Linked DNA regions of Alligator mississippiensis. The protein of the gene in region 1 purifies or fractionates together with the protein of each later gene. This does not show direct contact. Links are inferred from orthologs where the notes say so. Each region holds a gene or a part of one and is shown in the gene's direction. Other genes may lie near its edges. The genes, in order: POP4, RPP25, RPP40 and RPP38.

Evidence for each region.
Region 2: the proteins of POP4 (region 1) and RPP25 purify together in Homo sapiens (affinity purification with mass spectrometry; 3 studies listed by BioGRID and IntAct, counting the BioPlex papers as one, with this or other methods). This does not show direct contact. The link is inferred for Alligator mississippiensis from reciprocal best matches to the Homo sapiens genes POP4 and RPP25.
Region 3: the proteins of POP4 (region 1) and RPP40 purify together in Homo sapiens (affinity purification with mass spectrometry; 3 studies listed by BioGRID and IntAct, counting the BioPlex papers as one, with this or other methods). This does not show direct contact. The link is inferred for Alligator mississippiensis from reciprocal best matches to the Homo sapiens genes POP4 and RPP40.
Region 4: the proteins of POP4 (region 1) and RPP38 purify together in Homo sapiens (affinity purification with mass spectrometry; 4 studies listed by BioGRID and IntAct, counting the BioPlex papers as one, with this or other methods). This does not show direct contact. The link is inferred for Alligator mississippiensis from reciprocal best matches to the Homo sapiens genes POP4 and RPP38.

The regions. Positions count from the first base shown.
Region 1 is NC_081833.1:57,323,607-57,330,490, forward strand, and holds the start of POP4 (ribonuclease P protein subunit p29), read left to right. Parts: upstream 1-3,874; 5' UTR 3,875-3,970; coding exon 3,971-3,977; intron 3,978-4,144; coding exon 4,145-4,197; intron 4,198-5,614; coding exon 5,615-5,838; intron 5,839-6,768; coding exon 6,769-6,846; intron 6,847-6,884. UniProt on the Homo sapiens protein: Component of ribonuclease P, a ribonucleoprotein complex that generates mature tRNA molecules by cleaving their 5'-ends.
Region 2 is NC_081834.1:27,514,645-27,520,315, reverse strand, and holds RPP25 (ribonuclease P protein subunit p25), read left to right. Parts: upstream 1-3,826; 5' UTR 3,827-4,196; intron 4,197-4,359; 5' UTR 4,360-4,360; coding exon 4,361-5,020; 3' UTR 5,021-5,152; downstream 5,153-5,671. UniProt on the Homo sapiens protein: Component of ribonuclease P, a ribonucleoprotein complex that generates mature tRNA molecules by cleaving their 5'-ends. Also a component of the MRP ribonuclease complex, which cleaves pre-rRNA sequences.
Region 3 is NC_081826.1:122,607,786-122,615,689, reverse strand, and holds the start of RPP40 (ribonuclease P protein subunit p40), read left to right. Parts: upstream 1-4,896; 5' UTR 4,897-4,984; coding exon 4,985-5,110; intron 5,111-6,907; coding exon 6,908-7,052; intron 7,053-7,904. UniProt on the Homo sapiens protein: Component of ribonuclease P, a ribonucleoprotein complex that generates mature tRNA molecules by cleaving their 5'-ends. Also a component of the MRP ribonuclease complex, which cleaves pre-rRNA sequences.
Region 4 is NC_081828.1:179,774,085-179,781,722, forward strand, and holds the start of RPP38 (ribonuclease P protein subunit p38), read left to right. Parts: upstream 1-4,638; 5' UTR 4,639-5,469; intron 5,470-7,482; 5' UTR 7,483-7,513; coding exon 7,514-7,638. UniProt on the Homo sapiens protein: Component of ribonuclease P, a ribonucleoprotein complex that generates mature tRNA molecules by cleaving their 5'-ends. Also a component of the MRP ribonuclease complex, which cleaves pre-rRNA sequences.

The DNA.
Region 1 (6,884 bases):
AGTCTTTCTAGACTTTAAGAAGGCCTTTGATACCCCATCCTCATCAATAAATTAAGTGACTGTGGCATTGATGCCTACACAGTTGTATGGGTAAAAAACTAGCTGATGGGGCGCACCCAGAGAGTAGTGGTGGACGGGTTGTACTCAGCCTGGTTAGATGTGAGCAGTGGGATACCCCAGGGCTCGGTCCTTGGGCCCTCGCTGTTTAACATCTTCATCAGAAACTTGGATGAGGATGTGGATGTGGGGCGAGGTGGACACACTTGAAGGGAGAGAGAGGCTGCAACTAGATTTAGACAGACTACAAAAGTGGGCAGACGAGACTAGGATGGGGTTCAATGTAGACAAATGCAGGGTGCTGCACCTTGGGAGAAGGAATCCACAGCATGCATACAGACTGGGGGGCTCCCTTCTTGAAAGCACAGAGGCAAAACGGGATCTTGGAGTCATTACTGACTCCAAGATGAACATAAGCCGCCAATGCCAGACTGCAGCCAGCAAGGCCAGCCATACCTTGTCTTGCATCCAAAGGTGCATCTCAAGCCAGTCCAGAGAGGTAATACTCCCCCTCTATGCGACTTTGGTCAGGTCGCAATTGGAGTACTGCATCCAGTACTGGGCGCTGCACTTCAAAAGGGATGTGGCCAGCCTGGAGAGGGTTCAGAGAAGGGCCACCCACTTGGTGAGAGGGCAGCAGGACAGGCCCTATGAGGAGAGACTGAGGGACCTGAACCTGTTCAGCCTTAGCAAGAGGAGGCTGAGGGGGACCTAGTGGCTGCCTACAAGCTCATCAGGGGAGATCAACAGCAAATAGGCAGAGCCCTTTTCTCCCCAGCACCACCTGTTGTTCCATCTCCATCAGCTGATTACTATTGTTCTGAGGTAACAAGGAACAATAGTAATCAGCTCATGGAGAATAGGTTTAAGTTAGAGATCAGAAGGCAATATTTTATAGTTAACGGTGGCCAAAATCTGGAACCAACTTCCCAGGGAAGTGGTCCTGGCCCCTACCTTGGGCAAATTCAAGAGGAGGTTGGACGATCACCTGTCTGGGGTCTTGTGAACCCAGCATTCATTCCTGCCTGTGGCAGGGGGTCAGGCTAGATGATCTGTTCAGGTCCTTCCTGGCCCTAGCTACTGTGAAACTATGAAAACACTGAAATCCAAAAGAACTATGAGAGCTTACAGCACTGCTGTTCCCCAAAACCTGCAAAGCTGTAACTGAGAGGCGCATGTTTTGAGCTGAAGAGTAGGCCTGTGCGAGTTGGCAGTGATCCAATCTGGCTTCGGATCCGGCCACTTCAGATGGCAGCGATCCGATCCGGAGCTTCGGAGCCGCCTCGGAGATCCGGCCATAGGGTATAATGGGGAATCAACGAAATAGCTATAACTTTATTATTTCATGTCTGACTTGGATGAAACTTGCAGGGAGGGTAGCCTCTGCTGAGAGCATGAAACCTGCCAAGTTTCAAGAATATCGGTGAAGGGGTTTGAGGGAACTGTACCCCAAATTCTTGAAAGCCAAACTCCTGTCACAGCTGTGTGTTACACCACAGTGGGGTGAAACTGCAGGGCTGGTAGCTCTTACTGAGGCCACAAAGCCTGCCACGTTTCTAGGAGACAGGTGCAGGGGTTTGGCAGGAACTGCCCCTCAAGCTGCAGACAAGCAAAACTCATGCCATGGGTGACACTGCGTGTGTTAAGGCACAGCGGGGTGACATCTGCAGGGATGGTGGCCCCTGCTGTGACGCCTGCCAGCTGTGGAGGAGATTGGTGCAGGGGGTTCTGGGGCCCTGCACCCCTAGCTGCTGACAGGCAAAAAAAACTGCGCCAAAACTGTGTCTGTCTTGGGGCAGTTGTTGGTCTGTATTGAGACTTTCCTTCCCTTAGCCTGGTTTTGTAGGTGCTAACTGAGGCTCGTTAAGTCTTTATGTAGTAGCTAGGTCCTGTGTACTGAGCTGGTCCCTGAGTGAATCATGGTTGATTGATTGGTAACTGGGAACACAGCAGCTTAGCAGCCAGGCCTGCAGCAGTCTCCCCCCTCCCCACCCCAACACAGTCACAGTCAGTCCCACAAGCACCCATGGCACCAGTTTTGCTTGTCCGCAGCTTGAGGGGCAGTTCCCCCCAACGTCCAATCTTCTTGAAACTTGTCAGGCTTTGTGGCCTCACTAAGACCTACCACCCCTGCAGTTTTGACCTCCCTGTGTTGTAATACATAGAAGTGACAGGAGTTTTGCTTTCAACAATTTGGGGTACAGTTGTCCCAAGCCCCCACAATGATCTTCTCAAACCTGGCAGGCTTTGTGGCCTCAATAAGAACTACTACCCCACTATAGTGTAACGCCTAGATGTGACATGAGTTTTGCTTTCAAGAATTTGGGGTACAGTTCCCCCCAAACCCCTGCACTGATCTTCTTGAAACTTGGTAGGCTTCATCCTCTCTACAGAGTCTAGCACCCCTGAAGATTTCATCCAAACCAGACTAAAAACAATAAAGTTATCAATATTTTATTGTTTCCCCATTACACCCGATGGCCAGATCTCCGAGGTGGCACCAAAGCGCTTTGGGAAGCCGAATGAGGCCAGCGCTTTGACCCAGACATGCTGCTTCGGACCCCGAAGCATCCGAAGCTTCTCCGGATCTGAAGCTTTGTCTGAAGCCTCGCACGGCCGTACTGAAAAGAGCAGACAAGGGAAGCAGAAAGCAGCTCAAGTTGCTCATCTTGCTGCCCCCACCCTGAAGAGTTCCTGGAGCTGAAGGTGGGGCAGCGGGGCCCCCAGCTTGGCACAGAAGATGGGGACGAAAGGGAGAGGAGCAGAGATGAGGCAGGAGCCAGCGCAGCTGCCCTGAGAGACACGGGGGCAGAACACAGGGCAAATGGGCCAGCGATACTTAGGGACTTGAGGACAGGCAGAAAGCTGGTGCTGCAAGGCCCCAAATCCTCTTAAGCAATCTGCCTCACAACACATACCTACACAGAGGTTGTGACTGGAGGTATCTACATCTGTCAGCCTCTTCAAATGTCACAAACGTTGGGTCCCTCTAAGACTGGTTTGCAACCTGTGGTCCATGCACCCTTGGGCCCGCAGACCATGTCTAAGGGGTCGGTGTAAGATGACTACGCTCAGTCAGAAGCATGTGAATACCCAAACAGGAACACACCTCCATGCCAAACTTTTTAAGGGTCCACGAATGAAAAAATGTTGAAAACCACTGCTCTAGGGCACCGATCACCAGCCTTTTAAGCTCCAGGCTCCCCCGGACAGGGGTCCCCTGGGACAATGCCAGCTCTTGGTTTTCACTCGTGTTTTGGCCACACAAAACGAGCTGCTCGCCCGCTGGGAAGAATGGCCACAGCCCATGGGGCCGGAGTGCTCTCAACGCCGTGGATTCCCGCGGGACACGTGGGGGTCTATGGGTGACCCCAGCCTGCAGCCTGGACAGCTCCCAGGGACCCCACTCTGGCCTCATGGGTCTGAGCTCTCCAAGGGCTAGTGAGGCTCCTGGGGGTCCTGCTGCATGGAAGTGTGTGTGTGTGTGTGTGTGTGTGTGTGCGTGAGGGGGGGTAGTCCTGCTTCAAATGATCTGGGCCGGGGCGGACGGGGGCTGGACGGGCGCATGCGCAGCCCCGGACTGGGACCAGGATCAGCACGTGGAGGCGAACGCGAGAACTTCGCCACGCCTGCGCATGCGCCCAACAGTGACCCAACACCGCCCGAGTTCCGACGCCAACATTCCCTGCCCCCACCGCTGAGCGCATGCGCCTCGCCTTCCCTGGGGATGGTACTGCACATGCGTCAGTTACCCCTCCGTCTTTTTTTTTTTTTCCCTTTTGCGCACGCGCATGGAGGCGATCTCCTAACGGGCAACTGCGCCTGCGCCTCTCCCTCCCCCGCCCCGTTCGTCACCGCGTTGCTGCGCTTTGACTTCATCAGAGCGAGCCGGAAGTGCTGGGGTGCCGTCGGGATGGAGAGTGAGCGCGCGGGGGCTTGGGGCCCTTCTCACGGAATTGACTGGGAGGAGCCGCTCCCCTCGGAGCCGGGCGAGGGAGGGGAAAAGGGACAAGGGGAGGGGGAGGTAAGGGGCTGCAGTAAGCAGTGCTCGTGAAAACCCAGAGCCTTGTGCCTTCGTGTGTTACAGAGATGATCTACAGCAAACTGCCTGTGCTGGCCACCCAGCACCTGGGCATCCAGGTACGTCCCGCCCTCAGCGCTGCTGTCGTTCCTTCGTGTCATTGCCGACAGCGATTGCATAACGTGACATCGTCGTGTCCGCCCGGGCCGTGCGTTGGCTGACAGGCGGGTCTCCATCTCCCCGGGGGCTCGTTCGTTTGGCCCCTGTTTGAATCCAGCGGTCGTCGGAGCGCCGTGGCCGCACCAAGGAACTTCCACCACTTTGGGGCGGGCAAGGCCGCAGCCATCCTCGCAGAGCCCTGAGTCAACGGTCCAAAAAGGAGAACCCCGATGAGCTCGCTTGACGGCGGTTTATTTAAACAAGATCCTGACAACATTTAAAGCAGCTTTCCGAGGCTTTCTGTACCACTATTGGCCACCACTTGAAGTCTTTCCTCTCCTAGGCTCTTCTTTTGTGCAGTGGGTTTTGTGCAGGTAGATGCCTGCGCCTCCCGCAGCCTCGGCAAGGGGCAGGGAGTCTAGCATAGAAGTCACTGCAGTAACGAGGCCCTGTTGATTGCCTCGAGATGCAGTTACATTGGCGTAGGATCACAGGGACTGGGGGAAGGAAGACCGCAATATTTATGCGTTATGTTGCCGGCTTTTTTTTGAGGTGTGCATGATAGTGATGCCTGAAATATTTGAAAAGTGCTTGCACTGAAAACAGAGCCAAAATTGCAGTGTGTTGCCCTTTATTTTGTGTTATAGGAAACATGGAAAAGGATTAAACTGTCTTGTATTAGTGCTGTGCACTTGCATATTAAATTTGAAACAGCTGTATGTGGTTTGTTGAGGGTATGGTTTGTATTGGGGAAAAGACTTATTAAACCTGTGGCACTTCATGGGGTGGGGGAGGAATCTCAAGTCACTTTTCTTGTACAAACAGTTTTTTACACCTATGTTTCTTCCTTCATGATAAAGAATATCAGGATGTTAAGAATTCCGTCTTAGCCACTGGGTACCTCACACTTTTCTATAAACTTTGAACTCTTGGCTATTGAGAGTCTAAAGTTAGAAACCTATGAAGTTACCTGTAAGCAGTGACTTATTTGAACTGAAAAGTTATCACAAATAACTTGAAGCAAGCTAGCATGCAAACTATTGTTAACCATTTTTGCATAGCTAACTTACTGCGAATAGACTTCCTTGACGCACAAGGCAGCTACAGTTGGCATTAATTTGGCATGCTTTTGGCCTCTTCAGATGAAAAATGTATAGCTGTGTAAACTAAATTGTAATCTCAGTTCTAGAGTCAATCCCTTCATCTACTTTGAGATGCATATTTGTATAATTGGAATACAAATGAGTTTATCCTTTTAAAATATTTCCATTTGTGCTATGATTCATCTGCAGGTCTCTAAATACTATAATGGTGTAGGCTTCTGATGAAACCTCCAGTCAATTATATGGTTTTCTTGACTAGTAATTTGTTTTTTAGCGTCAAGGATCAAAGCAGGCTGAAGCTTTTGTAAAAGCCTTTCTGAAGCGTAGTATGCCAAAAATGAAAGATGAAGCTATCCAGGATAAATTAACTCGAAAAGCTGTAGTTCTTCGGCATTATCTGAGAAGAAAGAAGAAGGAGAAAAGAAAGAAAACAAAGGGGTTTTCTGCAAAGCAGAGAAGAGAAATGCAGCTCTTTGAAATTAAACCAGAACAACAGAAGTAAGATCTCAAAGGTTTTCTTTACTGAATTATCAATAAAAATGTGCAGGTAACAGCATGTCTGATGCTAAGCACTTTGCTTATAAAGTTATTAATCTATTTAGCGAAGTTAGTTGTTCCGTGCTGTTCATGCTCAAATGACTGCACAGAGACTAGTAACTACAGTTGATAGTTAATTATGACCAGATAAACTGTCACACTTTACATCACATGCTTTATTAAAATACATTTTCTTTGTAACCCAGTTGTAGTTGATACGAAATTAAGTTGACGGGGAAAAACAAGTATGTGCTTCTAAGCATGGCAAACATAGTAACTTCCTCAGTTAGGCCTGTTAGCAGTGTCCCTAGTAAATACAGAGGCAGCACATTAGTGCTGGTCTTCTTAGAGTAAGTATTCTTGCAATTTTGAATGACTTACGACGGTAGTTTCCAACATTTCCTGCCCTATGGGCCAGATGAATGATGCAGGGTTGGTCTGTAGGCTAGATCCGATGCATGGCCCTTGCTCTGCGTGTGCCAGATTGGCCTGCCACCCGGGCCCTGCACGCATTGGATTGAGGCCACTGTCCCACATGGGGCCCATATGATCTGGCCTGTGGGGCTTGTAAATTTGGAGGCAGGGGGAAAATGGCAGTGTAAATTGTCACTGCTCTTCCCCCCACCCCCACCCATCAAATCTGTGGAATTGTGGGGAGCCCCATGAGTTGGATGGCATGACTCTGCAGGCTGGATCTGGCCCACAGAGCTGCAGTTTAAGTACTGCTGACTTACAACATAGTAATGTCATGGGAACAAATAAGAAACGTAACAAATACAAGTCTTAACTTTATTTGCAAGTATGGATCACGTTAGTAGTCCAAGCTGTTGTTTTTTTAACTAATGAAAAGCAGTTCTTGTATAATCTCTCATTTTGTTGGTTATGCTATAGGTATGAGTTGTTTCTTCCGTTACACGAGCTCTGGAAACAATACATACGGGACCTGTGCAACGGACTCAGACCAGAGGCGTAAGTTGAGTTTGTTTATGAACATGGAAGGGATGGAT
Region 2 (5,671 bases), on another chromosome or scaffold:
CTAACTAACCAACAGCACAGCCAGACTAATTACTCACCTCACTGGGTGGCCAGGGCCCTCTGTTCTGCTCATACAGGGAGAAAATTGTGATTTATTGGAGACCTCAGTTACACCTCGTTTCTTGCCTGGCTCTGACAAGAACTTGGTCTTTCACTGCATTGGGCCCACCCTCCGCATGCAGGAGTGAATGATGCATCATACTGAAGCATTCAGATAGTTGAAGAAAGCAGCAGACCCCTAAATGTAATTATCATATGATGCCACATTACCCCTTGCCTCATCCCTTGCACCAACCTGCCAGGACCCTTCTCAGAGATGTAGAGAAGCATTTAATTGGATTTAAAAAAGCATTACAATATTTCAGGCACCTGAACCCCATTTATTTGAATGGCTATTAAGCCTACTAGATGCCTATTAACAATTTTGGGTGCCAAAATCCCTATGTGAATCTGGCCCTTGGTCCAAGGATTTTATGTTGAGATTGGAAGGAGGTTTTGATCTCAGCTTGAATGTTTTGTGAGGCCAAAATCTTCATCATTTGATGATGTCCGTGTTATATTTTATGAGCCATGAAGAGCAACCTTGCACTTTCAGTCCAAATGATTTTTATTGTCAATGGAAGGAAACAATAGGAGAAGAGAGAACAAACGTAAAGTCTCTGTGTCTTGCTGCATGTCACACTGCGGCCACAGAAACATGACATGGGAGCTGGATCACAGCTGCTCCTTCAGGGAGACTCCTCTTCACTTAACAACAGAGTTCCCTCCAAGAAGCGCTCAAGGAAATTTTCTGAGACAGGTGACTCATCTTCCCATCCAGGCAGAGCAGAAGCAGCCCTCTGGGCCTGCCAGCGCACCTGAACTAGAGTTGGCAAGAGTAGGCCTTTGTGATAAATAGTCTGTAATGTAGACAAGGCTTCTGAGGAGAGGACGTGGAGTGTGCACTGCGCAGTTGGGAGGGAGGAACCCTAGGAGCAGTTGGCCCTGGCCTAGCTGGAGTTATCCAGGTCTAGTCACCACGGCATCTTCTAGAGGAGATTCTGTGGAGAAGACTTTCCCTTGAAATGTTTCCCTAGATAGGCCCAGCAGCTATGAAGTCTTTAGAGCTGTTTCCCTCCCAGCCTCCCTCCCTCTCCAGCAGTCTCTCTCTCCTAAACAATCATCTATCTTTGTCTCTGGATGATTATAGATGAGGCGATAATTCACTCTGAACACTCAGGGAGGGTTAATTCGTTGAGGGGGGAGATTTACTGCCCTGCACCAGAGGGAAAGAGAAACAAGGGAAAGGCTCTGATGGAGTGACAGAGAAAAGGAGGAACGTGAAAGAGGAAAGATAAATGGGTAGAAAGTGAGTGAAAAGATGAATGCCCTGCATCCTCAGCTTGCATTTCACATTGAACTCACTCCATCCCCTGTTCGCAATGATCCAGGCTGGGACTGACAGCCCACACTGGAGTGGAGCATGGGGAGAAATTGGAAGAGGAGAACAAATTATATAGGAAAGAAGTAAAGAGGAGGGTAAAAGAAGAAAATGGAGGGAAAGTTAAAAGGGAGACAGAGGAGAAGGGGGTAGCTTGAAGGAAGAGGTAAAGGACAAGGGAAGGGCAAAGCAGCAAGGGGAAGTCTGTGGCCCAGCCTATCAGTCATATGGGTGCCAGTAGCTGCAGCCAGTGCTGGCGGGGGGCCTTGTGTCACCACCAATTGGATATTGATCCTCGCCTGCCTGGTGAAGCCACTGTTCTTCCTTCTTTATGACAGTTATTGAGTTCCTTTACTCCATCTTTTATGCAGCAGAGTGAGAACGCTCACCAGGCATCCAGCCCTGTGGCCTTAATTGCTAGTTGATGAGAAAGCCGCGATGACTGAATCATCACTGTCAGAGGCAGTGCCTGCCCATCTCCTTGTGTTCCTCTGCTCCTGGGATCACACATACTGCCCAGCTGATGGACTGGGATTGGGACCCAGTACCACCCTGTGCAGGGATGAGGCACCCCTCACCTAGAGTAAGGAGGGGATTCAGGCACCACCCTGTCTCAGCAGAGGAAGGGTAACCTGACCAGAAGGCTCCCCTGCCCCTCAGGAGCCCTTATCCAGTCACACATGGGTTCATTCCTCTCCTCTGGTACACTTCAGCCATCACATGGAAGCACTGTCTTCCCCTAGAGGGATAAGGACATGAGGGCAAGAAAGGTTTCTCCTCTGGTCTAATGCTAGACCCTACATCATGACCATTAGCCTCTCTCCTTCCCCCTCCCCTGAATGGGAGAAGAGTTCAATTTCCATGTTCATTCCTCTTCTCTTCACATTGCCTTAGTGTTTCTGAATGTCTAGGTTGCCACTAATGGGGTGAATGAGGCTTAGGGTGGGCCAGTCCCTCCCCTTCCAGTCCTGCTGCTGAAGAGGGGGCCTGGGAACCACAGAGGCCTTAAATGTGCTTGAGACTAACCTGAGATTTGAAGGCTGAGGCTCACAGGAGACTCCCCACTAGGGACTGAGGGATTCTCCTGCCCTCTAGTGGGAGTAGTGGTAGCAGTGGGCCTGTCTCCAGTCCTATAGACCAAAGGACTCTCTTCTTTCCCCTTAGGAGTGGTAGTAGAAGGCCTCCTCAGCTGCATTAAAGGCCACAGCAGAGGATGCCTCTCTCTCTCTCTCTGGGAAGGCAGGATGGCAGCAGGGGCACTCTGGCACTGTCTCCCGCTGCTGGGGTCCCTCTGCCTGGGCCTGGGCTGGGCTGCTGCCTTCTTTTCTTCCTGCCACACTTAGTCTGCTTGGCAGGGAGGAGTTCTCAGGGGCCCCAGAGCACCAGGTCTTGGCAAAGCTGAAGTGAGGCAATCTGGAGCTCTCAGCACATAGCAACATGTGGCTCCTCTCCAGCCACTCTGCCCTCACATATGCCCACCCCTCACTGTGTCTGGTGATGAAGGAGGAACTGCTTTTCCCAGACCCAGCGGGCTTTGAAGTGTGTGGGATCTAGGAGCTGGGTCCACTCAACAACAGGCCCAACACTTCCATCCAGAGAGGGTCCCGGGGTTCCCTGCACAAGGAGTCTCCCTAGTGACTCAGGAGAACAGGGGATCTACGAGTCTGGACACACTATATACCACCATCCTATATACTGGTTTTGTACTGATATAAATGATCCCAGGCTCTGGAGCAGACAGACGACCTGCTATCTCAGGGTAAGTGGTAACAGAAGTTGATGCTCTTACAGTTCCTGACCACTAGGTGGCAGGAGAACACGATTTGCCTTATATCAAGCAGCTACCCCAGGATTGCTCTGGACCCATAGTGTAACTTACCCCAGTGTCGTTTTAACTCTGATGTTTCCCCCAGGGTAATTCTACAAGGGCTTCAAGTCAGGCATTCCAGTGTAGGGCTGAACGCTGTGTGTCCGCTCCTTCCTGACACCCATGTACATGGGCTGATTGCACCCATGCAAATGGGCCATGTGTCCAAGCCCTGAAGGACACTACAATGAATACAACAATAAATCAGCCTGCACACATCAGCTTAATGAAGGGCCCTGCTCTGCCTGCAGGGAGCTTGGTCCCCTGGTGGGGATGCTCAGTGTCAGAGCTAACTCAGCCAGTCATGGAAAAGCAGGAGCAAGCAGCTGCCGGTACTTTGCTGACATTTGCATTTAGCAGTTAATGTCCTTGAGCTGGAGAAATCACCCAGGAGAAGGGGCCAGTTTCTCTTTAAGGGGGCAGGACTCTGGAAGCATCATGAAGAAAGAGTAGCTTTCCTTCTCCCCCACCTCCAGCCCCCCTTCCACTCCCCTCCCCCCCCCTTCCAGCTTCTCTTGGACTAGGGAAAAGTCAGACTCTCCTACCAGCCAGGGAAGTAGGGTTGGGGGGATGAAGCAGAGAGCTCTGTGCTGGGATGGGAGGCTGAGCAGGGGCGTGGGGTGAGGGAGGAGGAAAGCGGGGGAGGAGGAGAAGAGGGAGGATCTACTAATTACACAAAACAGCTCTGGGGGCTGCTGAAGTCCAGAATGAAGCACAGAGCAGCAGAAAGGAGTGCTGCAGTGGGAGCGGAGGAGCCCAGGCATTGCTAAGTGCAGGCACTGTGAGGGATTCCCACCCAGGGAGGATTCTGCAGCTCTGTCTCTTCTGGGGACTGACTGTCCAGCACAGCCACCACAGGGGACTGGTCAGGCTTCACCCAAAGTCCTTCTTCACCTGCCCAGCGAGAGGGGTGAGTAGCCAGTCGGCAGAAGTGGGATAATGGGGGAGCAGGACTAAACTTGCCCCTCTGCTTGCTGACCCACAGCTGAGGGAGTCTGGTACTTCCCCGGGAGCCTTTGCAATGGACATTGGGGTTTAGGTTCCTGACCTTGCTCATTTTCTCCCTGGGGAAGGATGGCTGCTGAAGGGGCAGAATCCAAGCCCATGCCTCCTGTCACCCAGTCCAGGATGGAGAACTTCAGGAAGGTGAAGACATCAGAGGAAGACAGCCCGCTGCCCTTTACTGGCCTGGCCCCTGATGTGGTGGAAATGAAGGTGAAGGAGGGCAGCAAGATCCGAAACTTGATGGGGTTTGCCATGTCCAGGATGGAGCTGAAGGGCACTCGGCAGATTGTCTTCAGTGGCTGTGGCCGGGCGGTCACCAAGACCATTACTTGTGTGGAGATCATGAAAAGGAAGCTGGGGGGTCTCCACCAGGTCACCAAGGTGCGCTACAAGACCCTGGTGGAAGTCTGGGAAAACAAGGACCCTCTGCCCAATGGCCAAGTGGAGACCCTGACTGTCCATAAGAATGTGCCCTCCATCTGCATCCTGCTCTCCAAGGACCCCCTGGATCCCAGTGAAATGGGCTACCAACCCCCAGAGCCCAGGGAAGGGCTCTGGCCAGAAGAGGAGGAGATAGAGGATGAGATATCCACTTCCTCCCCAAAGGGCATGAAGAGACCTTTGACATCTCCACAGGAGGAACTGAATAACAAGAAGTTGCAGGTACAGGTACCAGAGAGTCAAAAGGGCTCAGGGATGATGGACTACATGCTGGACTATCCTCACTGACTGCCCCACCTCCCACTCTGAGAAATAACCTAAGCCATACATAGTTTCTATAGAAATGAGATTCTATATTGAAGACACTCCAGATTTTTAGATGCTTTGTAATCAATAAAGGGACAATGAAGTCAGCAACTAGCTTGGTCATGAGTCCTGGTGGTCTTGGCTGTCCCCATGCTTACCTTCTTTCATAGACATGGGTAATCTTTCCCCCTTCCCTTCCCACACACACTCCTCTGCCTCTTTGGTAGTAGCAGGAGGAGGGCGAGCCATTTCCAAGCTGCAGGGAGTGTGGTGTGGACAGAGATACCCCTCCAATGGAAAGGCAGCAAGGTACAGGGGACAGCTCCTGGGCATATGGTTGCAGTGGGTTGGTGGTCATAATGGTGTGGGTACAACACCTTACACTGAGCTTCAGGTACCAGGTAAAGACTAAGTATCCTGCTCCAAGGAAAGTGCAAACTAAAAAGGAAAAAGGAGTATGATGGGGTATGCTCAAGGGGTGGGAAAGTAAAGGGGTGGCATGTGTGATTACTGATTGGAAAAGGTTAAACCTGCTAGCCACTGGATAAAGCCCAAGTGGCAGATTAACAGATGTGGAAATAGGGCAAGAGTCCCATATGGGAAGCCGGAGTGTGTGTGTGTGTGTGTGTGTGT
Region 3 (7,904 bases), on another chromosome or scaffold:
ATTTTGTGCTTTACATTGCACCTCAGCTTTGACAAACCAGATCTGGTTTCAAAGCTGAAAAAAATATATGGAAGAAGCTGTTGCCTTCTGACAAGAAACTTTTCCAGATAATGTGAAGACTAGGAATTTCATTCCAAATCCTGTCATCTTTATAGAAAACAGAGTCAGTTCTTCACCAGTGCCAGGAAACATTTCACAAATCCTACCCAACTCCAAGCCATTACTACACTCTGCCTCAAAATGCTACTTCTTGATGACAACCTATAATTTTTTTCAAACACATAAAAACCAAACTGTTGTATTACCTAATTACCCAGATTTTGAGTGGAGACAGCTACCGAGACTGCGGTGAATTTCCAGGGTCTGAGAAATACAAATGATTTCATGTTTAAAATGCCCAATGTCACAATACTTAGAAACCTCACACCTAGCTAAACACAGAAATATAGTAGTCACTGTAAGGAAGTCAACATTTACAACAGTTACCATGCCCTGAGACAGCTTATATTTAAACATGAATACTCTGACATTTTAAAGACTATTGTATACATTGCAAAGGTTTTTTTTAATACACATCACTGAATCTGGTGACAATCAATGTGCGAGTGAGGGATAACAGTGATAGCTTGGCAGTTGCATCAGTCTAAGAATATAGCAATGAAAATTACAGGACTCTACTGAAATGGAGTAAAATATGCTCTGATCACCATCCCTAAAAAAACCCAGCTAGGCTCTGCCAGATACACAGCTCCAAATGGTGTTTGTCCAGACCCTGCCCAACACTTTTATTTTTCATTGAACTTAATTTAGCAACAGCAGAAAGCACTAATCCTCTCATTATTACCCCTCCACAAGATAAGAGCTGCACTGCAAATGAATGAACACTTTTCACTGTTGTGACAGAGCGTAAGTCGACTCATGTTCAAATAACGGTGCAAAGCTCATCTGTTGACACAAGCTTTGCCTGAAGGTCTGCAAATGCTGTATCTATATGCTGATAGTTGAATCTTGCAGCTGCATACTTTATTTAGTTGACACTAATCATCTAATTTTTATATTTTATAAATGACCATGTGAATATCAGCCAGAGGGAAATGAAATGTAACAGGTACATTATTTTCAAATTAGGAGCCTTGTAATTACACATGCAGTTGGCTTATTTGTAGAATTTAAACTACCCTTTAAAAAGGTCACTGAGCCAGTGACTTCCAAACCCTATACCTTAACAAAAATCTAGCAAACTGGAAGTGCTGAACCAATGAGCTCCAAGCAGACGGTGGTTGGCATCACCGCAGAAAGGTGTACTCATAAAGCCAGACACTTTACAGAGATCAGTCTTAGAATCAGCCAAGCAAGCCAGTACTGAGCTAGTGAATTCATAATGGCCTTGCACCTACTATCAAACCAGTAATCTATGGTTCTTCTAGGACACATATTAACCAGCCTCTTCAAATAAATCAGCAAGTAGAGTATAGGCGTGAGCCAGCAATATCAGAGACCAAGGCCTAGATCATAATATAGCTACAGACTGTACCAATGGAGCACAAACATATATGTCGCAGAGGCCTCAGCTTTGATATCGATTTGGCAAGGTAAAATGCTGAGCTACTAACCTTAGGGAGGCATGAGCCTTGACATGAGTTGAAGGTATATCTAAAGAGATGCAAAACTTCACATCAGTTCAAGAGCTATAACTTCTGTGATAGTTACCCAAAATATGTTTGTGGCTTGATATCAGTCCAGGAAGCCAAAAGTGCTGAGCCAGGGATGTCATACAGGCATCTATGGCATGATACCAGCAGGCTAGAGCCATTGAGAGAGCTGATCCTAATCGAGTTTTGTGCCTGGATACCAGCCCAGCACACTACAGTGGTATAGATGGTCAGCTCCCAGAAGCTCACGGTTCGTCCTTAGTCCAGCAAGCTGGAGGTGTTGAGCTAGTCAATTTACAGGAACCCAAAATATTTACATCAGTTCAAGCTATCACTTGGTGAGTGAGCTAATGAAGTCAGACTTGAGCTCTGACATTAGTCCAGCAAACTATATATCAGGTGAGCTAGTGAAATAACAGAGGTCTGACACTTTAGATCCATTTGGAAATGACCTAATTGTATCCTGTCTCTTAAAAACAGTGCAGCAACCAACAGGACTTTTTTTCTTGGCAGCCACCCAATTAGAGAAGTAAGCAATCATTCTCACATAGTCCTACGTGCTGACATGAGATAATAAAAGTTAGATGCTGTGCCATGACCTTCACAGTACTGTGGCTTAACTTTAACTTGATATACTAACATTGCTAAGGTAGCAATCTTACACAAGCTCTTGGTTATTCCTGGAGCAATTGTTGATGGACTATTATAAAACCTGTCTTCTTTCAGACTCAGCATTTACAGCTTCTATTATTTATGTATTGAAAAACTCTGGGAGACATTTGAAGATGAGTTGACTTGGTAGCTGTGATTATGGTCACTTCAGGTAGTTTGTACTAGTCTAAGCTGAAAGAGCAACCAGAATGACAGAAAACAAAGAGATGATGGCTAAGGAAGGAGGAAGAGTAAGTAGAAAAGGAAAAGGCAATTTACACATCCGTCATCTTTAAACAATCTTAGAAAAGTCATAATCATGCCTTCCTATACTACTACGTCTTTGTGGGGTAACTATCTCAGACTAATGTGAAGGCTAGGGTCTCTATGAAGCCTCTAACTCATCAGATATGGCTTAGACTGATGTCAAGGCTCAAGCCTACTTACGATTCAGCATTTCTATCTTGCAAGCCCAGTAAAATAGAAATGCAACATTTTTTAAATCCTGTCAAACTGGATGCATATGAGGAATACTCACAGAGTCTCAATGAGCCCAAATTCATAGATAGCTCAAAGAGTCCCAAAAATTCCCACGAGATTGTGATAACACCTGAGCAGAATCTATGTACTGGCCTGTCTTACAAGTTCTCAACACACTTCACAGTTTTCCAAGGTCCAGATATTTATTTCCTGTGTAGGATTATGAGTTGTCTGCCAAAGGGGCAGGTTGGTAAACTGCCTCCAGCACGTTTGACATCTTGTGGGTTGAGTCTTTACACCTCTAGCAGGGCCCTAACACATCCATTTTCGCTTCACACAGTCAAGATGTCTACATGCTTCAACACATCCCTCATTTGCTCAATATTTCCAAGGACCATCTCTCTCAGGATTCTGACTCTTCTCAGCAGGGCTCCTGAAATAGCAAGGAGAAAACATGCTTCCTAATTGTTCCAGTCATTTTTTCTGGTTCATAGGAGGAATCTTGAGTGGAAGACGTCAATTACCATTTCTTAATTGCTGTCTAGAATACAAGGCATGAGAGTACATGAAGGATGGCTCATTCATTATTAGTGCCTGCCTGAAGTGGCTGGATTAGGGGATATTATATTACTGTACTTACTGGCAGGAAAGGTAACAGCTGACATCCTACACTGATGTCCTGCCACTATCAATGTAGAAAGAGAAGTATCTACATTTAAGAGCGATGAATGAATCTTGTAGGATGTATTAGCAACACAGCTTTCTGTGGATGAGATGATTACCAGTGTGCCTAGGGGTTTCCTATGAGATGTAATGTTGTCAAAGCGTGTGAGAAAGAAAATGATGGAATTTCCTACAGCTTGTACCATTATCGGTGCTCATTGAGTGCGAGTGTGTGTTTGTGATGAGGGTGAGGAATTTCCCATGTGATGGTGTAGGAACCATGCTAGAAATACTTCTACTAATAATGTGCATGGTGTGAAAGGACTACAGCAAATGCAAAATCAATTATTTGATAATATTATCTATCCACAGTGAACTCACATTGTTTGTCTGTAAATAAAATGTTCTAGTGTAAACATAGCATATAGGCAAAGCAACAAAAAACTAGGCCTAACCATGGTATTGATCATGGAAGGAGTTCTACACTTCGTACACCAGTCTCACCCACGTTTTTCTGACACTGTTTTGCATTTGGCTAGGAGATTAACTTCTCTTTCCCTCACACTGATGACACAAAGTTCCTTTAAGTACCATGATACATACATTTTTAAAAAGTTTAACTCTCCATTGCCCAAAACCTTGTGTTTGAACACTCATCCAAAATCTCTTCCAACCATGCAGTTGGTCCAATAGAAGATCTCATTCCACCCCCCACAAAATAGCCTTAACTCTCGAGTGGGACAGGTGATGAATTAACTGTTTAGCAGGCTGCAGTTTCCGTGTTGCTAGCTTCTCTAGTGATTTTCTTCCGACTTGAGAACATTTTGTTTTACTTCCTCAGCTCCTGGAGACAGATGAGGATTTGAAAGTATCTCCTCAGCTTCATCAAGGCTTGTGGTTTTATCACAGCTCTTGCATCCTTTTTCCAAGTCCCCAGCTCCTGGAGTCTAGTGATTACATGAAAAACAGCTTTTTTTTCTTCTTCTTCTTAAAAGGAGATTTCTAATCTCATCAGTAACAAAAACAATGCTTGGGGCCAAGCTCACAGCCAAGATTTGGAAAATAATTAATTTAGACAAATCCATTAGATTGTAGAAGCTTTTCTTGCCCAAATGATGATGCCTCAGTGTTTGCCCCTGACAATTCTGCAAACCAGGAGGAACTAATACTTAGCGGTGTGGAGGGGGACAACACACAAATAATGTTTAAACGGTGCAGGACAACCTCTACATGAGGTTCCTAGCAGGCAGTCACCAGCTGACCATAAGCAGCAGCACTCCACCCTTCCTGCTTCTCCTCTGCCTCTTAACATGAGATGAAGGCAGACTGAGGGCAACACCTTCCCCAGGCAGCACTGAGCATGCGCACACCCCTCAGGCGCCTTCCACCCTGCAAAAGCCGGCCCCGGAAGTAGCTGCAGGGAGGCGGAGGAAAGCCGCCGGAAGTGACTTCACGAGCTTCTTCCGCCAGCCCCGGTTTGGTGACGCGGCTCGGCCCGGCTCCTGATTGCCGGCTGGGGGTTCCGCGCTGGCTGCAGCATGTCGGCGCCGCTGCGGAGGCTCCGCGAGACCCCGCGGCACCTGCTGGTCTGCGAGAGGAGCCACGTGCGGCACGAGCGCTCTCGCCACGCGGCGCGCGTGCGGGGCCACGCCTACAACTGCCGCGTGAGTGCGCCCGGGGGGCGGGGCTTCGCGGCGTGACGTCGCTCCCGGCTCGCCTGGGACTCGTTAGGGAGAGCAATTAAACTATTAATTAATTGATCAATCACACATTAAACCCGAGGGACCCCCACCGGTTAGGTGCAGGGATGCCCTTAATGCTCAGGATGAGACAGTGCCCTGAGCTTTGGGCTGGGTGCTCACCCAGCCTCTCCCCATTTTACAGATGGGAAAACTGAGGCACAAGGTTGTGTGGTCACCAGCTCACACTGCCTGTCTGCTCTTGCTGAGGGAGAGCAACGCATTGTTGTCATTAAACCCCAGGAAGGGTTCCTGTCCCTCTCTTCCTGGGTGCCCTTAATGCCCAGGCTGGGCTGTCCTGCCCAGAGCTTTTGCTTGCGCACTTGGCCCTCTCCCCATTTTACAGGTAGGAAGACTGAGGCTCATCAAGGTCCAAGCCTGCGGCAGAGCTGGGAGACGAGCCAAAAAACCAAACCCAACCCAAACTCAGCACAGGGTTTCTAGCCCAGAGCAAAGCAATCGCCCTCCCTGCCCGGTTGTAACAGGGCAGCAGGGGCACAGAGAGTCTCAGCCAGGGCCCCTGGGGCCGTTTTAGGGGGCGGCACAGCATTAGCACTGCTTGGCGGGCAAGCACCTGCAAGTGGGTGACAAAAATGTCATTGCTCCTTTAAAGCAGCCGAGACTTTGAATTTGATTGTCCAGCTAGGAAATAAGATTTTCCCAGTCTTAGGCTGTGATACCAGTGGCTCAAGGAAATTAATGGGAAACTATTGCTGATATAATTGACTTAAAGCATTTCTATATGTTTTTTCTTATTCTGTTTGGAGCAATTATGTTAGAGCTTGTTTTTATTTGTTGGATGTAATGTGCCTGTCACTTGGTTTTTACGTTGTTTTGTCCCTGCTCTGACATGAATTAAATCACCACTGCTGCCACCTGTTTTGAGTTAATTCCTGTGTGAAATGGAGCAACAGGTTGTCCATATTATCACCACAATAATTCTTTATATACTCTGAAGTCACTGTGTGGAGTTAGTATTGAAACCATGCCTGTGGTGGTTGCTGTAGCCTTGTGAATATGGCATTCACATAATAAAATGGGAGATTAAAACACAGATGCTTTATTTCTTTGAAGTTTTTTTTCTTTAAACACTAGCAAGTATGACAAGTTCAAGATATTGCAGTTGATTTGCCTAACCTTGCTTGGGTGCACTGCATCAGTCTTGATTACACTGCCCACAATATGAAAAGTGCACATTTCTGTAGTTTAAATTCAGGTATCTTCTTTATTTTCTGCTTCTCGACTCCGGTTTTCCCTCCTCCCCCAATTGAGAAAGCTGTTTTTACTTCTGTGTAGTGCTACACGCTATCCCAGCTTCCATGTTTGCTATCTGTTGCAAAGTGGATGTCCACTGATGTTTTCTCCACTGATTCCAGGATTGATTGGTATGCATATTGTTTCATTTAATGTTTTATAAGCATTTTGGAGAAACATCCTCAAGAAATATGCAGTTCCTCAGGGAAAGTCTTTCTGTAATTTATAACTAAGCTTAATCCATTTTTGGCCTGCAGGTTGCAGTGTTTCAAAGTTTCTGACACACAAATCATGTTGCAATGCTACATATGATATGCTGAATGAGGTTTTGAAAATTTGGCACATTAGGGAACCACCCAGATACAAGAACTCTGTGTTTTCTCTCTCTTTCTCCTCCAGCCCTGTTTTAGACCTTTCCTTATGTATGAGTGTAACATCTAATGTGTATTACAAATATGGTCCTAACAGGTGTCATTTTTGATTCCTGAATGTGGCGTGCTTCCAGAACCTCTGAAAAGTGTTACCACAGATATGGGAGAGTACTACCTGGTGAAGAATTTACCCCTTCATGAATTGGTTGCACAGGAATTTATCAGTGCATTTGTAAAGACAGGTAAAGGAGAGCTTAAAACAAATAAGACAAACAAATAAAAAGGTGTCATCTGTTCTTTTAATAATAAAACATGTTTTTGTTAGTTTCTGTGTGGGGTAGTCTTGGTTCTGAAAGTTATTTGTAAGCAGAAAGAGAAAAGTATTCGAGTAGAAATCTGTATCAGTCCCGTCATCTCCCTTTCTTTCTGTTCACTTATATATATACTTGTATAGCTGTCATAATGCAGAGGAAGAGGTTGGTAAAAGAAACAGTAAGAAAAGTGGACAGGGAGAGGAGAGGAGAGTCAGCAAGTCAGTGTGCATTGGCTTTTGTGTAATTGTTTTTCCTTGGGTTTTTTTTTTTTTATGATGGGAGAAAAAGAGACTTCTGTACTTCAGTTAGATTAATAGAGCTTTTTGGCTAGCACCCCGAGACCAGTGCTTGTAAAGGTACACTGTTTCCTGAAAGCATTTATTTTTCTGTCCTTTATAGTACTTTGTCCCTGCACACTTCTATCAGGAATGATCTTGAGAGCCACTAGTTAGAGAGTAATGTTTTAGGTCATTTAAAAGTAAGGATTCCAAGATTTCAGTTATTATTACTTTGTTTTCTTGCCTTAGAGAGTTTTGAGGTAAGAATCATTAAGTGGTTTTACAGATGAATGGGGGACAGTGAGATGTAAAAAGTTCCAGTTTGGGAGATGAGACCCCATTGGGAATAGCAAAAGGTGAACATGTGTAAGACCCATGGCATTTGTCATAAAAAGAAAGGGAAGGAAGACTATTGGCCTCTGTGTTCTAACTCATTTCCATTTGGGTATTCATGATCTGCCAGTGCAGATTTCCCTTATAATTTTAATTGGGTATTAGTTAT
Region 4 (7,638 bases), on another chromosome or scaffold:
ACAGGTTACACAGAAAAGTTGTGAAATCTCCTTCCCTGGAGGTTTTTATAGAGCTGGCTAGACAAAACCTTGGCTGGGATGATGTAGTTGGGAATGGTCCTGCTTTGAACAGGGGGTTGGACTAGATGACCTCCTAAACTCCCTTCAAACCTAATTTTCTGTTACTTATCATTCATTTTTAGATATTTGCAGAAACTGCAATTTTGGTTGGGCTCCACAAAAAAGCAGTCTCGCTGAGAAAAAAAAAAGCTGGAAGAAGAGAAAAGGGAAGCCCTGGAGTGCTGAAGTACATGGGGAATTGGGAGGAGGGAGAGAGAGCAAATCAGAGGCTGAGCCAGTGATATAGGCTCAGTCCAGGAGCCAGTTCAGAGCCAGAAAGGCAAATGGGAGGATTTGGGAACCAGGTTTTAAAGTATCCGCAGGCATGCTGTTACAGCATGTTGCAGCCTGAGGAGAAGCAAGGATGATGACTTCGAAGAAATCCTCCAAGGCACCCAAATATGTTTCAACGCTAGACGATATAAGATTGTATCCTGAAGGGATCTTGCGCATAGATGGAGGCACTCTTCTGTGCCACCGACAACGTAACTCTGAATGTGTTGAGGAAACCCAATGTATATCAAAACTTAAGAGTTCAAGGCATACATGAAGCAGAAGGCTGTTGCAGAGGCTGAAGGTCAGAGCAAGAAACAAGGAACCATGTCCTCCCTCTTTAAAATGACCACAGAAAGCAGCTTGGCAAGGCAAGAGGTGGGATTTTCCTTTGTGGAGGTTTTCGCAATGGCGAACATCCTACTAGAGAAACTTGATCGCTCAAACTTAAGGTACTACCTGAATCAAAATGTGCCAGATGCTGGCAGCTTTCCACATACCAACAAGCTTCAAAAAGACTATCTGCCTGCAGTGAGTGCTTTGCATGTACAGTTAAAAAAGTCTGCCTTTGCAGAGTATGACTCCTTATCCATTGTGGATGATGAAGCACAACAACCCTCAAGATAACTAGGTGCTGCTTATTTTATTTGTACTCGGGAGCTGGACAGACCAGTACCTGCCTGTTTCAAACTGAGCTGGTCCAGCTCACATCTGTCCATTTTTCTACTGTGTCTCAAGCCATTGTGATGGTAATTGTCAGCTATGACATAGACTTTAACAAGATTTCAGCATTCTTGTCTGACACTGCCATGTACACGTGCAAAGCTTTCTCCGACGTGCTCCAAGGAATGTTGCCCAATGCTGTTCATGTCACCTGCAACGTTCACATTCTGTCCTCAGTAAGTGACATACGGCGCATGCAGTTCCCTGATGTGGCTAGCCTGGTGCCCTCTTTCAAGAAAGCCTTCAGACACTGTCCAAGTCTGTTGCTAGTCAAACTGGGGGCTCACATGGCACTGTGCCACTGCCACCAGAGCCTGTGCTCACAAGATGGGATTCATGGTTCAACACAGTCCATTACCACGCCAAGCATATCTAGCACTATCAACCGTTTGTGGACGAGGAGCTGAAAATCATACCCAGCAAAGAGTGCATGCTTAAACTTCATGATATCTTAGGGTGAGGTGACATTCAATATCAAGTGATGTTTGTGGCTGACAATGGCACTAGGTTCATGGACCTCCTGCCTTGTTTGAAGGCCAGCCAGCTGTGATCCACCACACACACAACAAGGGGCTGGATTTGATAAGCTGGACTGAAAACATGGTATTGCAAGAACTGCCAAACTGTCCTCATGAAAACCACTGGAGAGGAGACCTGTTCCAGACAACAGTTGTGAAGCTGAACCAGCACTACAGGAATGACCCATCTGTCCCTGTGGTACAACTGCAGTTCAGACAACTGGCTGCCCCCTTCCTTAGTGCTGTTCACATTTTGAACCCCAACCAGTTGCCTTTTCTGAGTTGTGATCCTCAGCTACTGAAAGCAATCCTGGGATGGGGGAAAGAACATGACAATGAAAGTGTTGCTTACATGAACTTTGTCAAAGAGTGCCAGATGCCTGTGCCTGTGTTCGGGGACTCTGACCAGTTTCCACATCTGTACATCCTGACAAGTTGCTTCCTCACCATTCCAATGAACTCAGTAGATGCTGAGCTTGCTATCTCAATGTATGGACAAGTGTTCACCCCGCAGAGACAGAGAATGTCTGCAGCAACTGTGGTTGGATGCAGCATGCTCGCATTTAATAGTTAGCATGAATTGTCTGTCTCAAGGTTAACATCAGTTTCAGTAAACTCCTTTTTATGTCCTTTGATAAAGTGTATATGGTTGTTGTCGTTGCCAACTCGCTTGCTGGGCTATGGCCAGTAGCCCGGCACGGCAGGTGGGTACTTGGCGAGTGGAGTGGAATCAGGCACAGAAGCGTATTGGTAGAAAATAGATTGTTTACTTACGCCACTGATGCGTGCAGTGCAGGAAGAAAATTGATTCAAGTTGCAGTTACAAACGTAGCGAGAGCTCTTTAAAACGAGACGAGACGTTCCATAAACGGCTTATCGAGTGCACAGGGAGGGGGTACGTCGGGAGGATCGGTGACGGAGAGTCGTTGGTGGGTGATCAGTCTGCCAAGTTTACTCCAGGATGCATGTGGAGTTCTCCAACAAGGGCAGAAACTGCTTTTACCTTTATATGGTTAACAAGCCAATCACTATTTACCAAGTGGGTATAATTTGGTAACCGGCCAATGGGCAGTGTGCAGGGGCTAGCCAATTATACGGGCTGTTGAAACACAAATGGGGGTGACCGTTGGACTTGGTGGGGATTTTCTTGCGCCGGGACTTTCCACTGTGCCAGAGGCATTCAGTTACTAGGTTCTGACAGTTGTATTAGTTGCAATTCATGTTGTGTATAGCTTTATTTATATAAGATACTTCAGTTTGGAGTTTAATTAAGTGCTTAGATGGCACTGGTTACAATTTATGGTGTGCACAGCTTTATGATAATTCATTTTAGAGTTTAATTAATATAATTAATTTTAGAGTTTAAGTGGTTAGATTGCTTAATAACATGTCAATTAATGGCTTCTGTGGGTTTAATCCCGATTAAGCCTGAGAAAGCCATTAATTGATGCATTATTAAGCAATCTAATCAGCAGTTTGGTGCAATCTCCAAATCAGAGGCATGTGTGGGGCTGTTGCACTCAGCCCATGAAAATGGTAACCGGCCCTGGGATCTGCCTGTGAAACCAGCCAGCCGCCTCCTTGTATTCAGTAGACCCCTTATTCATTGTACAATGCTCCTCCATTCAGTACTGCTATACTGAAGTTTTAACAAAGTGCATCAGCTCCTCAAATACAAACCAAATATGAAAACTAAGAACTGATAAGTGTTTCAAAGGCCTTGCATCAAGGACATGCTCTGGTTGCTTGTGTGCAAGAGAACACTCACTGCAGGAAAGAAAACCACCCCTTTGCTTTCTGCATTGTAATCAAGAATGGATGCAATATTACCACCTTTGTGTGCGAGTGGGCTTTGATCCATCCATGACAAGGGCAGTGTGGAAATGGGAATAAGAGGCTGGATTGCACCACCTTCTGAGGCAGTCTTCAGGTGGTACAGGCATGGCCCAAGTAATGGATGCTATTCTTCACACCTTCAGTTCATTTAATTTAAATGCAGTCTGAAGAATGTAGGCAACTTCTTTAAGCTCTGGTTCACTATGAAACCAAAGATGCAGTCTCAGAGCTTCTTCTACAGATTGGAGCTCAGATTTTTCACTACTCCATACATACCTGTTGGCTAGTTGCATGACTTTCAAACATTTTGATTACCATGTGAGAAACATTCATGTAGCTTTGTGCAAAGTACAAGTAGATTCAGGAAAAAAGAGGCCTTTGTCACATGCCAGCTCACATTCTTGGTTAGTGATAAAGTCCCATATTAAAGTGTGGCTTTTCTTCCCATTGAAATTTAGTCGCTAGTATTTCAAAAGGATGCTAAATTTCTCATTTTCCAATGTTTCCATTTTTAATTTAATTCAGAACTGTATAAATCCAGTTGCTTATGGGCATCAGCTGTTTAATCAAGGAAACTAACACTGTTGAACAGTGAAAAATACCACACAACCAATAGGTAATATTTAATTTTGCCTTCATTTGAAGGGTCATACCTGTAAAAAACGATTGTCTTGAAAATTACCCAAATGCAATGTGATTGAATAAGGTATCCAAACACTTTACATAAAACGTCCAGACTTTGTTCTTCTGCAGTGATTTTTTTATTCAAGTTGGAATTAGAAATACGTTTGTCGGTCAGCTTCATCCCAGTCAGGCAACAAGTAGCTGTGATAACATACAACTGCATGGTACACATAAGCTGCTTCAGCAGCAATGGCACTATCATCAGCAATGTCTTCGGTTTTGAATAAAAAATGTTGGAAATGTGGTGCATTGATTTCTCTCTTCTTGTTTTGCAAAGCGCTTTATAAATTGAAACTGACAGACCTTTCTGAGTTACTTCTCTGGGGTGTGGCAGATACCCTTTGCTCCCAAGTACAGGCCCACATGCCTGCCGCTCGCGCATGGAACCTACGGCAGCCCCTAGCGGTTGCGCGGGGCGAGGCGAGGCGGCGACATGCTCGGAGCCCAGCTCAGAGCGGCAGGCTCCCAGGCTACTGCAGAGGGGACTCGCAGCATGTGCAGTGCAGCAAAGGAGCCAGAGGAGGAGCCGAGGGGTGGGCGGGGCCACCACCTAACCAGATCAACCGGGGTTTCTGAGAAGCTCCTCAGGGGGCAGAAACGTGCAACAGCCGACTGGAGATCAGCCTGAAGAGCATGAGCAGACTCTTGCATGAAAAAATCCAGCATGCTTGGCTATTTCGCCCAACCCCCGCAACCCCAAACTAAGAGACAAAGGAGGAGAGAAATATTAGTGCGCACAAGGGAAACTGTTAGGACAGAAAACACAGATGGAGCCTTTTGCTGAAAACAATCCTGACGCCCGCGACACTGCCAGCCCGGCCGGGCCCAGCCCCGCAGAAGACCCCCACCCCGCTCAGGCATGCGGGGTGTTCGGCGCGCAGGGCCGCACCCAGCCTGAGGAGCAAGCCCTGCCGGGCGCGGGGCAGGTGTGAGACGAGCCCAAGCCCGCGCTGCGCCCCCGACGCTGGGAGTGGCCCAGCCCCGGCGTCGGGCTGAGGAGCCTGCAGCGCCACCCCCGGCCGAGCCGGGGCCTGCAGGGCGCACGCGCAAAAGTACGCAGCCAGCGCTCCTTCCCCTCCGCCGGGCTAAGACGCACATGCGCGTGAAGATCCGGAACGGGGAGGAAGCGACGTAACCTTGTTGACGTAGCACTGCGGCAGGAAGATGCGCGTGGACGTCTGGGGTTCCGGTTCCGGTTCCGGGGTCACGGTGGAAGGGCCTCAAGTCAGCAGCGGGCAGCAGTGCCCTGTGCGGAGCGGCCGTCGTCCCTCCTCTCCCGGCGTGGCGCCAGGCCCGGAGCGCGGCGGGAGGAGCCGCCTGCAGCGCCCGGCCCAGGGTAAGGGCCTCTTGGCGCCGCCCCGTCACTTCTGCGAGGCGGGTCGCGGCCTCCGCGGGAGCGCGCCTGGGGCGGAGCCGGCAGGGGAACGAGGGCGGGGGGGCGCGAAGGTGCCGGCTTGCAGGCCTGGAGCGCGGGGCCCGGCTGGGTGCGGGACAGGAGCGGGGAGGGAAGCCGCAGAGGCGCACAAAGCAGCAGGTCATTAAAGGCAGAGCTCATTGGTGACCCCCTGCTTTTTGTGTGTCCCTCCGCTAATGCTTTCTTCCCCGTCTCTGCCCAGCACATCACTGGGTTGTCTCATTCACAGCCTTCAAAATGGCATTTCCTCCTGACTCTACCCCAGGTGCATGCACACAGCCTCTTCAGCAGGAGAGGCTTTCTCCCCTTTGGCCCCTCCTGTTTTTGGGGTGGTGCGGCCACCTGTCACATTCTCTGGCCACTCATCATTGCAATAATAACCCCACATTACATATTTTTCAAAGGTCTTTGCATACAGGTAGATGTTTTGAACAATATACATGACTGCTGTTAACCATTTTTTAATTTGTATTGTAAGCAACTGGTGAGGATTGATTTCCCAGAAAAGTGTCAGCCCCATGTAGACTAGCAAAAAAGATAATTGTGGTTTCTCTGTTGAAATGTTCACCCCCATTCTCATGCGTCTGTGTAGAAGTGGCATGGGCCTTGTCTACATCGCAGAGTCCTGATGACACGGCTGTGTTTCATGCAGTAGGTGGGGCTGGGGCCAGCACATGCTCCATGTGGTGCCAAGGGTTTGGTCCAAGACCCACTGGTTGGATCTGGCTTGTGGGCTGGATCTTGGACACAGTTCCCCTGATATAAATAAAACCTTAATTTAGAGAGGGCACTTTCCAGCTGTGTGAGTAGATTGTGTTGTGGCATTAAATAGGAGGTAAGGCTAGAAGATGTGCAGTTCCAGGGATCAGGAGTGTGCAGGCATAACTGTCAGATGGGGTTTCCAGTCAAGTTAAGTTACCTTGAATGAACAACCAAGGAGAAGCAAGGGTTTTTTTGCTGTTCATATATTCTTGTACTATCATGGCTACAACACTCCAAACCTATGTGAAAAACCAACCTTTTCGTCAGTGAATGCAGGACTGTAATGACTCATGAAATGATAATTTTGAGAGAGCATGCATAAACTAATGATACTTGGTCCTTTGAAGTGCGATTTAAGATCTGTATCTGGCCTTCTCCATGGAGGGAGACTTGCTCTTCAGTAATTGTGGATTCTTATAGAAGACCATGGTCCAACCCTCTTGACCTGTGGGAGTATATTTACTTTCAGATGAAGTTATTAGGACTTGAATTGGATAGCTAGGAATAACAGGGTAACTTGGACATCATCACTAACTTCTGAGCAGGTATTCAGTTTGGGTCTCCAGCAGACTTTTTATACCAGACTTCAGAGCAGGTTACACGCATCTTCATTGTTAATATTGTGTGTGTCAGTTTACTAGTGTGGGTATGCCTGCGCATGCTACAATTACACCTTTGTTTACTGTTGGCATACCCTTGCTGTCACAATACAAGAGTCAAAATTTAGCATTTCCTACACATTCTAATTTAGTTTTATGACCATTACAGATTAAGAGAATAGTCAGAGCTGTGCCTAGGGGTGTGTGGGACCAGGGGGGGAGAAGGGGTGCAAGTGGCCAAAGTGTGGAGCTGGTGGCATGAAGCGGGGCCTGTATGGCACTGGCCACGGGGCCTGGGGCAGTTGCCCTGATTCGCACCCCCTTCCCCGCCCTCCAGGGATGGCCCTGTCTGTAGTGTTTCCAGTTGTTTTTGTTCACTTTCAGGTGAGTCACTTGGGTGCAAGTGTTAACCTGTTGAAAATGAATAAGGTAGACACTGCATAGCCAAGTATTTTGTAAAGGCCAATGTTACATACATATGCCTCTTAAGTTTAACTTTGTTTTAAGCTAAGAAAGTAAGGGGGTCCTTCTTGTGGACCATTTGCTAATAAGTTATCTCTTCTTTCATCCACAGCTGAGCTGCTAAAACACAAACCAGTATCAAGATGCCTATAGTGAAGGCAGGGGGTGGATCAGTCCGTAAAACAAAGAAAATTTCTGTGAAAACTTCTTTAAATAACCCATATGTTATCACATGGCGTACTCTAGAGGGAGAAGATGTGCACTTTAT